Cricetulus griseus: one gene and its partners. The protein of the gene in region 2 purifies or fractionates together with the protein of the main gene of each other region. This does not show direct contact. Links are inferred from orthologs where the notes say so. Each region holds a gene or a part of one and is shown on either strand. Other genes may lie near its edges.

Evidence for each region. Proteins that work in one complex are often made in the same cells at the same time.
Region 1: the proteins of Tsen2 (region 2) and Clp1 purify together in Homo sapiens (affinity purification with mass spectrometry; 3 studies listed by BioGRID and IntAct, counting the BioPlex papers as one, with this or other methods). This does not show direct contact. The link is inferred for Cricetulus griseus from reciprocal best matches to the Homo sapiens genes TSEN2 and CLP1.
Region 3: the proteins of Tsen2 (region 2) and Tsen34 purify together in Homo sapiens (affinity purification with mass spectrometry; 3 studies listed by BioGRID and IntAct, counting the BioPlex papers as one, with this or other methods). This does not show direct contact. The link is inferred for Cricetulus griseus from reciprocal best matches to the Homo sapiens genes TSEN2 and TSEN34.

What each region holds. Positions count from the first base shown.
Region 1 is NC_048599.1:90,801,117-90,805,470, forward strand, and holds the start of Clp1 (polyribonucleotide 5'-hydroxyl-kinase Clp1), read left to right. Parts: upstream 1-1,502; 5' UTR 1,503-1,628; intron 1,629-3,852; 5' UTR 3,853-3,874; coding exon 3,875-4,354. UniProt on the Homo sapiens protein: Polynucleotide kinase that can phosphorylate the 5'-hydroxyl groups of double-stranded RNA (dsRNA), single-stranded RNA (ssRNA), double-stranded DNA (dsDNA) and double-stranded DNA:RNA hybrids. dsRNA is phosphorylated more efficiently than dsDNA, and the RNA component of a DNA:RNA hybrid is phosphorylated more efficiently than the DNA component.
Region 2 is NC_048601.1:29,280,083-29,283,641, forward strand, and holds part of Tsen2 (tRNA-splicing endonuclease subunit Sen2), read right to left. Parts: intron 1,457-3,559; coding exon 952-1,456; intron 95-951; coding exon 17-94; intron 1-16.
Region 3 is NC_048602.1:21,616,791-21,620,881, reverse strand, and holds the start of Tsen34 (tRNA-splicing endonuclease subunit Sen34), read right to left. Parts: upstream 2,853-4,091; 5' UTR 2,601-2,852; intron 2,208-2,600; exon of another isoform or gene 2,066-2,207; intron 1-2,065. UniProt on the Homo sapiens protein: Constitutes one of the two catalytic subunit of the tRNA-splicing endonuclease complex, a complex responsible for identification and cleavage of the splice sites in pre-tRNA. It cleaves pre-tRNA at the 5'- and 3'-splice sites to release the intron.

The DNA of each region.
Region 1 (4,354 bases), on a different chromosome or scaffold from region 2:
CCAGCCCCTGGAATGGGGCTGCCCACATTCAGGGTGAATCTTTCCTCTTCTGTTACATTTTTCTGGAATCTTTTCACAGACACACCCCAAAATGTGCCCCATTGGTGTCCAAAGTGTTTACTAATCCAATCAAATTGACAAATGAAATTAATCATCAAAAAACCGACCTCTAAGCCTCCTAGTGGTGCACTCTTTAAAACCCAGCACTCTGGAGGCAAAAGTAGGTGGATCTCTACTAATAACTAAATGGGCAAATGCCTCTTATCTTCCTCCCCAAATGAAACTGGAGATAATATACCTACCTGTTTTTGAGGGTGTTGTGACATAAGACACCTGGAGGAACTGGAAAAATGTAAAAGCATGGTATATGAATAGATGAGATTATTATAGTCTCTCTAGCCTATAATAAAATTAAAGGTTAACATCAGATACTTGCTATATTATAGGCAATGTGCTTAGTGCTTTACATGTATCTCATCCAATCTTCAAAACAACTTTAAGAGGTTGAATACTGTTATTATTCCCATTTTACAGACAAGAGACATTTCAGGGAAAGAAGCCTGTGATTTATCCAGTCAAGCAGTGAGCCAACCATACAAGATTCCAAAGGCCATGCTCATGAAAAGTGTATTATAGACATGGTGGAACCAGTTAGCAGTGTGTAAATGATTGACCTTGTGTAACTGTCTGATTTACATAGAGAAACAATCCAGAATCTGGAAGAGGTTGATGGATAATGACTGGTTTATAAGTTTAATGGGAGCTGGGCGTTGGTGGCGCACGCCTTTAATCCCAGCACTCGGGAGGCAGAGGCAGGCGGATCCCTGCCTCGAAAAACCAAAAAAAAATTTAATGGGAAAAAAACCACTGGGCTTTTATTCTACCTTTACTAAAGGGGAAAAACAAACAAACAAACAAAACCCAAAAAAACCCAACAGACATCCTGGTTTGGTGACTCAAATCTGTAAATTCCAGCATTTAGGAGGCAGGAGAAATCACCGCGAGTCCGGGATTGGCTAGTCTGGGCTACAGTTGAACCGGGGTGGGGTGGGGGTGGGGTAAAAAACAATTTACACTTGGTTCCTTCTCTATGTTCGGCACCGACAGGCAGAGGTTGTCAGCTCTGTGTAGCCTCAAAGGGGGACTGTTTCTATTTCCCTCTGCCTAGGTCTCCTGCTTACGCTAGGTTTTGCTAACTTCCCCACTTTCTGGCTTGTGGTCTAGGCGAGCAGAGGATCCAGACAGAGAGGCCTCTCCCCTTTCTGGTAGCCCTTAGCTTTCCTGGACAGCAGATGGGGAGAGACCATGTAAATGCCTTCCGCGCGTGGGCGCACCAGCAACGCCTCCTCTCCGCCTCCAGCGGTCTTCCCGCACAAAGTGACGGCGTTGCCCCGCCCACCTCGCGCGTCACGGCACAATTCTCGAACTACAACTTCCAGAGGGCTGAGCGTCGACGCGCGCTCACTCAGCCCAACTACATGTCCCAAGAGGCATTACGCGACCGCGCTTCCTCCCATCGCGCAAGAGCGGAACCGCATTTGCTTTCCGGCTGCTCTCTAAGTGGTCGTTGTGCTGGAGTCCTGTCCGAAGGCTTCTGCTACCCTGATTTAGGACCTGTGGTTGTGCAGGTAAGGACCCCAATTCAGTTCTGCGAGGCCTTGGCAGATTTCTGTGTTGGAACTAACTGCGACAAATACTGGACCTGGAAGTGCGGTTTAGAATCAGAGTAACTAACGTTTCTTTGCTAGCGCCTAATTTACGGTGTTTCATTTTGTTTTTCCTACTGTGGTAGCTGTTAACAGCACTGTTAGGTGAGGACGTGTAAATTCCCACCAAATGACAGCTGATGAGTTTGTTGAGGTGTTGATTGAATTAAAGTAGCTATTGGAGTTTCAGAGCTTGACATACAACTGTTTTCTTAGTCCGAACCCTGTGTGCTGTACTTTGCACACTATTCAGAGTCTAGTTTTTTTTTTGGCTGAGAGTTGGAGAGAGGGCATCTGTTATTTCTTTCCCGATAGGGTGATGGAAGGAAGACAACGCAGTAAGTTTCCTGTTAGTTACATTTTTATTATAACCTAGTCATTCATTCACTCAGTTTTCTGTTGAGGTGCACTGCTGTTCTATCTACTAGAGATAGAGTAGCAAACAAAAACACCTCTACCTTCTAATTGTGGGGAGACCCGCAAACAAAACCCAGCGAGTCGGAAGGCAATAAGAACTCCGCAGAAAAAAGATAAAGGGATGAAACCAATGGAAGATTTTGAACGATGGCCTGACTATTATAGATGACTATTAATCTGTATTTTTTAAATTATACATTACTTTTCTTTTGTTTTGTTTTGTTTTTTGAGACAGGCTGGTTTGCATTTTTAATGAGTTGTATAAACACAATAACCCAAACGAGTAGAAACATACATATAGTATAACAAAAATTAACTTTAAATTTGTATCGATATTAAAAAATCCATACCAATGTAAAATATTTAAGACTAGCAGTTGCTTTTTTGGTTTAAAAGTAGATTCAATAGCCGGGCGTTGGTGGCACACGCCTTTAATCCCAGCACTTGGGAGGCAGAGGCAGGCGGATCTCTGTGAGTTCCAGACCAGCCTGGTCTACAAGAGCGAGTGCCAGGGTAGGCTCCAAAGCTACACAGAGAAACCCTGTCTCCGAAAAAAAAAAAAAAAAAAAGGATTCAATAATCTCCCCCTTTCAGAAAGAGATCTTTCAATCTAATCTCCTTTGTTCAGCTTTTTTCCTGACCATTACAAATAACAGCTTGTAACCAACCTCCCTTAAATGATAATAAATAGCCCATCTTTTGGGAATTTGGGCATAGTTCTTTAAAATACATTGGCTGGGTGGTGGTGGCACACGCCTTTAATCCCAGCACTTGGGAGGCAGAGGCAGGCGGATCTCTGAGTTTCACACCAGCCTGATCTACAAGAGCTAGTTCTAGGACAGCCTCCAAAGCCACAGAGACACCCTGTCTCGAAAAACCGATATATATATATTGGCCGATAGCTCAGGCTTGTTATTAACTAGCTCTTACAATTTAACCCATTTCTGTTAATCTGTGTGTTGTCCCAAGGCTCATGGCTTTTACCCCTCCCCATTTTGTGTGTCTAACTCATTGTGCTTCTGGCTCCTTGTGACTCCTCTGACTCTGCCCTTCCTATTCCTATAGATATATAGATATAGATAGATATAGATTCAACCAATATATATATATATATATATATATATATATATATATATATATAGCAATATATATATATATATGTTGAATCTAGCAGTTTTCATAATCCAGTGTCTCTTAAGGAGGCAAAAAATTCAAAGACAACACAATAACCGACTGTCTTGTATTTTCTTTTTTAAAAAAATTTTTTTTGGTTAAAGGCATGTGCCACCATCGCCCAGCATGTTTAGCACCTTTTTAAAGAAGCTTTTTCAGGCTTTATGTGAATGTAAGTGACCCTAGATGTTTGTGCCATTTGTTGGCAGAAGTTTTTGTCCCATCAGCAGCTCCCAAATAAACACAAAGAAGCTTAATATTAATTATAAATGCTTGGCCGATAGCTCAGGCTTGTTACTAACTAGATCTTACAACTTAACCCATTTCTGTTAATCTGTGTGCTGTCCCAAGGCTCATGGCTTTTACCCCTACCCCATTTTGTGTGTCTAACTCATTGTGCTTCTGGCTCCTTGTGACTCCTCTGACTCTGCCCTTCCTATTCCCAGCATTCTCCCTTATTAACAATGAGAATAATACATATTTACAGTGTGCAAAGATTGTTGCATAGCAATGGCCTTATGTAATGATTTAATCTAATGTTTAATTTGGGTTCTAGGCACAGCAGCTATACAGAAAAAATGAGTGAGGAATCCAATGATGACAAGAAGCCAACAACTAAATTTGAACTAGAGCGAGAAACAGAGCTTCGATTTGAGGTGGAAGCATCTCAGTCAGTTCAACTGGAATTGTTGGCTGGCATGGCAGAGATCTTTGGCACAGAGCTTACCAGAAACAAGAAATTCACCTTTGATGCTGGTGCCAAGGTGGCTGTTTTCACTTGGCATGGCTGTTCTCTGCAACTGAGTGGCCGGACCGAGGTGGCTTATGTCTCTAAGGACACCCCTATGTTGCTTTACCTCAACACTCATACAGCCTTGGAGCAGATGCGGAGGCAGGCAGAAAAGGAAGAAGAGAGAGGCCCCCGAGTGATGGTAGTGGGTCCTACTGATGTGGGCAAGTCCACAGTGTGTCGACTGCTACTCAACTATGCAGTGCGTTTGGGCCGCCGCCCTACCTATGTGGAGCTGGATGTGGGTCAGGGCTCTGTGTCCATCCCT
Region 2 (3,559 bases):
CAAGATGCATACATACCTCTTCTAGGCTGAGCTGTAGATACTCAAAGATCCTGTATGGATTTCTTCTGCACACCAGTCTCTTTCTTTGCAGCAACTACAAAGAAAGGAAGGAAGAGAACCAGTCACCTGGGACACAGGTGAATACCGCCTGTCATGAAGACTGAATCCCCAAATGAACATTTTTTTGATAAGCCCAATGCTAACATGCTACTGAGTAAAATAACCTTCGTGGGAAAAGATGCTCTGATTTTTCTGCTGCTAACACTATCCCATGGGCTTTTTCCCAATGATGTGATACTCCATTGTTAAACGCAGTGTCTCCCACTCACAAGCTGTACAAGACCTGTTCTTCGGTGTCAGAATCTTCATTCTCTTAGCTGTACCCGACATCAGGCAATTACACTGCCTTTCTTCTCCCAAACAAGACACAGAGGATTACTTGTTTTAACTTACTTTAAATTTTTTTTAAATTTGAATTTTAGTGGAAACTGTCTTCAACTGCTGAGCAACTGAACTATATGCTTCAGTGGTGGCCTCAGAAGCACCATACAGGCCCAGTGTCATCACAGGCCTGCCCCACGGCAAGTGAAGGGCACCTGGGTGGGCTGATATCTTCTGCTGGCCAGCAGCAGGTAGCTCTGGAGAAATGACTGACAGCCTTCGAATCTCCAGGGGACATACCCCAAGAGTCCTGATGGATACCTACAACCATGGGTAGCACTAACCCCATTGTTATATTTTTCCTATCCACATCCAGCCACGGCAAAGTCTGCATTAGTTAGAGACTAACAACAGTGACTAACAGTAAAGGAAAGGGATCCTAACACTGTGGTGAGAGCAGTAATGGATGTGGTCTCTCTTTAAAAAGCCAAGACAAACAGCAACGTTCTCAGACTGTGGTTGACTGTAACTGAAGCCCAGATGAGGGGCATGGTACTTTGTTCTACATACCTTCTCATCTGGGGCCTCGTCTTCCTCTTGGACATCACACAGCTCTTCCTCTACGAGTACATACTCATGAGCAGCCCTTTTCTCTCCTGCTGCCTGGCTGCTGTCTTCAGGCCAAAGGCCATCCTGAGCAATACGGCAGGGGACCTGGGGCAGAACTGTGGTGTCTTCTATCACATGTCCATTAAAGCTAGATGGACTAGCCACGGTGAGTGTGGCTTGGCCAGGCCCCTCTTGCAGGCAGTCTGAGTGTGTGTTGAGACCCTGCAAGTCATCTGACTGTCCAGCACCTCCAGTGGTAACAGAGAGTTCGTCCTTTCCCACTCTGCCTTCTAGGGTGGAGTTGGCCTCAGAGTTGAGCGGGTCATGCTGAGGGACCTCTTCTTTCCCTTTTCTGCAAGGGAGCTCAAGTGGCTCTGTGTAGTCTGTCAAGATCTTTTGCACAGTGCTCTCCTCCTGGCCTTGCCTACGCATGAAATCCATGGCCCATTCCACTCGATGCTGATACCTGCCCACAGGAACACCGTCAACAACACACCGTCTCGACTCCAAGACAACAAAATGACCAAAAAAGTCTACATGATGGCCCACCAAGATGTGGAGTTTTCCTGAAGGGTGGATTACAGGCAGAGCTTACCTCCTTCACATTCTCCTACATCTAACTGTCCAGCAACATGGATGTGTCACTGGCCCTTTGGTATCATTTGCTTACTTTGAAAAAATTAACCCCCATTTAACAAAGTGTGAAAACTTATGTAATTTAAAACCAAGAGACCCTGGTAAATAAGGCAGAGAAAATATTGACTTTTACTGGTGTCCATTTTATCTTATTTTCACAGTTCGTTACCGATACTCCTTTCATAAGATCCTTTGTTTAGTATTGGAAAGCAAATGTCAATCAATACTTTTCATGGTATCCACGAACATCATTGGACATAAAAAGAAATGGTTTGCCTTATATACAGCTTGCTTTCTGTTGTGATGAAACACTGAACAAAAGCAACTTGGGGAGGAAAGGGTTTATTTCAAAACTTAGAACTTAAAGGCACCATGAGGGAACCTGGGGCAGGAACTCCAGGCAGGACCTGGAGGCAGGGATGGAAGCAAAGGCCTTGGAGGAACTTTGTTTACCAACTCACTCTCTAGCTCATGGTCAGCAAGCTTTCTTATACAGCTGTAGTGATATATTATTTATGATTTATTAAAGCTTGACTGAGGATTCAGAAAAGCAAAGTCAGTCTCAAGCTATAGAGATCAGGTAGTGGTGATACACACCTTTAATCCCAGCATCCAGAAACTAGGCAGTGGTAGTACACACCTTTAATCCTAGGACTCAGGATTAAGAGATAGATGGATCTCAGTGAGTCCAAGGCCACCTAGATCTACACAAGACTGAATCAGTCTAAAAGAGAATTATAGCTCACACCTTTAATTGAAGCACTAGAGGGGTAACAAGATAGGAGCAAGGATTCAGAAGGAGGCATTTGTTCTCCAGCCACACTGAGGAGAGGCAGCCACACTGAGGAGAGGCAACAGTTTGAGACTTGAAGAGCTTGTGCGTGCATCAGCCCTTTCAGCCTGAGCTAGAGGTGAGAGCTAGTGGCCGGTTGTTTTGTTTTCCTGGTCTTCAGCTTGAATCCCAGTATCTGTCTCTGGGTCTTTTATTTATTTGAATTATATACAGCTCAGGCCCACCTGCCTAGGGATGGTACCACCCACAGTGGTCTAGGCCCTCCTCCATCAATTAGTTGAGAAAATGTCCTGTAGACCAATCTGACAGAAGCAATGAACCATGGTTTCTTCCCACGTGTGTCAAGTTGACATTTAAGATTAGCCGTCACCACACACACACTGAAATAAATCCCCCTTCAGAATATAGTATCACATTACATTTCTATACTCAAAGAACTGAGCACTTGCCAAGGTACAAAGACCATGAAGACAACAAGGCTGTATCAGGACATTGCTGGATGTGTTCCTCACCTGTGTGCTTAGATGCCTGGATATATCAGGGTGCACAAACTGTTATGTCTCATACAATCCAGCAGGCAAACTGCCTTTTGCACCCAGAAAGACTGGTGTCTGCTTCACCTTGGCTCATCAGAACCCAAGCTGTTCACATTGGTCTTCCTACACACAAATGAACATACATCCTTGTACACTGGGACTGAATCTTTGACTAATTCATTTATTGCTGTTCTGGGGATTACCTAGGGCCACAAGCAAGGGCAAGTGCTCAAGTGCTCTACCACGGGGCATATCTCTCCCCACTCCTCCTCTTTTGAGAAAGGGTCTTTCTGAGTTGCCCAGGCTGGACTTGAATTTGCCAATTCTTCTGCCTCATTTTCTTTCTTTTTTTGCCATTTTTTAAGAAAATCGAGCTATACATTTTTTCCCCACTCCCTTCTCCCCTTCCACCCTCTCCCACTATCTCAGTTCTGGAGTAGTTGGCATTACAGGCCTGTGCCAACCAGGCTTGACTGAATCTTGGATTTAAAGACTGAATCATGGCAAGGCTGGTCTGAAACCTGTATGGTAACAGTATAAAATGTGGAGATTCTATTATTGCACGTTTGGGGTTTAGTCTGGACTCCATCATTTAGTACCGTGT
Region 3 (4,091 bases), on a different chromosome or scaffold from region 2:
CAGCCCTGCAGAGGAGGGGAGAGAGAGAGAGGGGGGATAGAGAGAGAGAGAGAGAGGGAGGGGGAGAGAGAGGGAGAGAGAGGGAGGGGGATAGAGAGAGAGATAGAGAGAGAGAGAGAGAGAGAGAGAGAGAGGGGGATAGAGAGAGAGGGAGGGGGATAGAGAGAGGGATAGAGAGATAGAGAGAGAGAGGGAGAGAGAGGGGGGATAGAGAGAGAGAGAGAGAGGGAGAGAGAGAGAGAGAGGGAGGAAGAGGGAGAGAGAGGGATAGAGAGAGGGAGAGAGAGAGGGATAGAGAGGGAGAGAGAGGAGAGAGCGGAAGAGAGAGAGAGGGATAGAGAGAGAGGGAGAGAGGGAGAGGAGAGGAAGAGAGAGAGAGGAAGAGGGAGAGAGAGAGGGATAGAGAGAGAGGGGGAGAGAGAGGGATAGAGAGAGAGGGGGGGGGATAGAGAGAGAGGGGGAGAGAGAGGGATAGAGAGAGAGAGGGAGAGGAGAGAGAGAGAGGGATGGGGAGAGAGAGATAGAGAGGGAGAGAAAGAGAGGAAGAGACAGAGAGAGAGGAGAGAGAGGGGGAGAGAGAGGGATAGAGAGAGAGAGGGGGGGAGAGAGAGGGATAGAGAGAGAGAGGGAGGGGGAGAGAGAGGGATAGAGAGAGAGGGAGAGAGGGAGAGGAGAGAGAGGGAGAGAGAGAGAGGGAGGGATAGAGAGAGGGATAGAGAGGGAGAGAAAGAGAGAGGAAGAGACAGAGAGAGAGAGAGGAGAGAGAGAGGGAGAGAGGGAGAGGAGAGAGAGAGGGAGGGGGAGAGAGAGATATAGAGAGAGAGGGAGAGAAAGAGAGGAAGAGACAGAGAGAGAGGAGAGAGGGGGAGAGAGAGGGACAGAGAGAGAGGGAGGGGGAGAGAGAGGGATAGAGAGAGAGAGAGAGAGGGAGAGGAGAGAGAGAGAGGGATGGGGAGAGAGAGAGATAGAGAGGGAGAGAAAGAGAGGAAGAGACAGAGAGAGAGGAGAGAGAGGGGGAGAGAGAGGGATAGAGAGAGAGAGGGGGGGAGAGAGAGGGATAGAGAGAGAGAGGGAGGGGGAGAGAGAGGGATAGAGAGAGAGGGAGAGAGGGAGAGGAGAGAGAGGGAGAGAGAGAGAGGGAGGGATAGAGAGAGGGATAGAGAGAGAGGGAGAGAAAGAGAGAGGAAGAGACAGAGAGAGAGAGAGGAGAGAGAGAGGGAGAGAGGGAGAGGAGAGAGAGAGGGAGGGGGAGAGAGAGATATAGAGAGAGAGGGAGAGAAAGAGAGGAAGAGACAGAGAGAGAGGAGAGAGGGGGAGAGAGAGGGACAGAGAGAGAGGGAGGGGGAGAGAGAGGGATAGAGAGAGAGGGAGAGAAAGAGAGAGGAAGAGACAGAGAGAGAGAGAGGAGAGAGAGAGAGAGAGAGGGAGGGGGAGAGAGAGGGATAGAGAGAGAGGGAGAGAAAGAGAGAGGAAGAGACAGAGAGAGAGAGGAGAGGAAGAGGGAGAGAGAGGGATAGAGAGAGAGAGAGGGAGGGAGAGGAAGAGGGAGAGGAGAGGAGAGAGAGAGGAGAAAGAGGGGGATAGAGAGGAGGGAGAGAGATGGGGAGAGAGAGGGGATAGAGAGAGGGGGGATAGAGAGAGAGGGGGAGAGAGAGAGGGAGGAACAGGGGGATAGAGAGAGAGAGGGAGGGGGAGAAAGAGAGGGGGAGAGAGGGGAGGGGAAGAGACAGAGAGAGGGGGGAGAGAGAGATGGGGAGAGAGGGAGAGACAGAGAGAGAGGAGGGAGAGAGATGGGGAGGGGGGGTGGGAGAGAGAGACAGAGAGGGGGAGACAGAGACAGAGGAGAGATAGGGAGAGAGGAGGGGGGAGGAGAGACAGAGAGGAAGAGACAGAGAGAGGGGGAGAGAGGAGAGATAGAGAGACAGGGAGAGGGGGGAGAAAGAGGAGAGGGACAGAGAGAGAGAGGGGGAGAGAGAGAGAGAGAGGGAGATATAGGGAGAGGGAGAGAGGAGAGAAGGAGAGAGGGGGACAGAGAGAGAGAGAGAGTAAAGGGAGACAGAGAGACCTCCAGCCGCAGCGGCGCACCGCCCCTTTTCGCAAAGTGGGCGTCTCCCTCCGGGCGTGTCCGTCCGTCCGTCCGTCAAGCCTCCGAACGCAGAGTGGCAGCTGGCTGAAGCCACACCCCCTTCCAGAACCCGGGAACCCGGCCCCTCCCACCTCGAGTCCCCCCAGTTCCCGCCTGCTATCCACTTTCAGCCGCACGGACGCTTTTTTCTTTCCTTCTCTTTTTTAAGAGAAACCCGGTGCCGTCTTGCGCGGGAGGAGGTTCGATGTCCGGGCGTCCGCGGCTCGGCTCAATCCGGGGTCCCCACCCCGCCCCACCCCCTCACCCCTTGACCCCCGCCCCATCCCCGGGCCACCCCGCTAGACGAGCGTGTCGGCCTCCGGGATCTCGGCTCTGTCGCACGGCCGCCCCCTCCCTGGCAGCAGCCGCCGGAGGAGGCTCGCTCGGCGTCCGCAGCGGGCCGGGCCGGCTGCGTCCCCCGTCAATTCCTCCGGCCGCGGCCCCGCCCACCCCACCCCACCCCACCCCACCCTACCCGGGAGTCCGCGCCCACGGTGGCGCCCTCAGTGGCACTCGCGGGCGAGCGCAGGGCACGCCGACTCGGCGTCCGTGCTTCGGTCGGCCAGGCCGTCGCACCGTCCGTCCTCCGCGGTCAGCTCCTCGCCCAGCACTCTACGTAGCTCTACGTAGCGCGTCTTCCGTCACCCCCTGCCCTCCCCCGTCACGTCAGCAGAGCGGAAAACCGGAGGCGGGCGAGCGAGCCCTCCGCCCGCCCGCACCGCCGCTCGCCCTCCTAAAGTGGGACCTGGGGGGAGCGGGGGCGGCGCCATCGCTCTTGGCCACACCTCCCAGGCGCTAGAGTCCTGCAGGCCCCGCCCCGTTGAGGGTGGCCACGCCCACCGTCTCTTTCCGGTCTTCTCTGGCTCCGCCTTTCTTCCTCCTCCGATCACCCCTAAAAAAAAAAAAAACAAGACTCGATGTTTCGAGAAGCTCTTGGCTCCGCCTGTTATTGAACCAGGCCCCCCCCTCCGTTGCACCCGATTATTTCCGAATCTAAGCCGCAACTTCTGGCCTCGCGGGCATTTGACAGTGACCTAAAACATGTTCGAGTATCCGGGAAAAAGAAAAAATAGAAAATAAAAAAAAAAAAAATCACAAGCCCTCGGCGCCGCCCACATCCTGCAATTCTTGGAGGACGCCCTCACCCCCACACTTGCGACGACCTCCGAAGCGAGCCGAAGCCCGCGGCCCCGCCCACGCCGGGCGGCGTTCGTGAGCCCGCCCGGTTACTAAACGGAGGCGCTGAGGGAACCGAGGATGCCCGAATCTCGCCGAAGCGTGCGGCCCCGCCTACATCCGGCCGAGTGTGGGAACCGATCTAATTCCGAACCGTGACTTGGGAACTCGGCTCTCTCCGAAGCGAGCCGAAGCCGGCGGGCCCCGCCCCCGCCGGCCTCCACGCCGTCCGCTTGAACTCCCGAGGGTGCCCGAAGGAGCCCGAAGCTGAGGGTTCCGCCTCTTTCCGAACGCCGCGCTCCAGGTCCCGCCCCCTTTCCAAGCCCTAACCCGTTTCCTCGGGACTCGGAGCCCGGGCCCCGCCTCTCTGGCTCGAAGCCCCGCCCCTTCACGTACTGGCAGCAGCTCTTTGCCCCGGGGCCTGGCAGAAGGAACGCGGCGGGCATCCTGCGGCGGCGGCGGCCTGCGCCCTGCTTCGTGTTCTGGGTTCTTTCCCTCCGGTGCCGGGTCCTCTACCGCAGCCGATCTCCGGCCGGGCCCGGATCGCGGAGCGAGCCGTGCGGGGGCGTGCTGAGCTGGGGAGGCGTGGCCCGGGCGGAGGCGGTGGCGACAGAGGGCTTCTCCGCAGCCTCCGGGGCGGCGGGCGGTTCAGGTGGGCCCGGGGTGCGGTTGTGCCGAGGCGTCGCTGGAGATCGCGGGGTGGCGGGGTGCGGGATCAGCGGCCGGAGCGTGGCCCCGGCTGGGTGGCGTAACCGCCTGTGGATCTGCTGGGGCGGAATCGGATCCACGC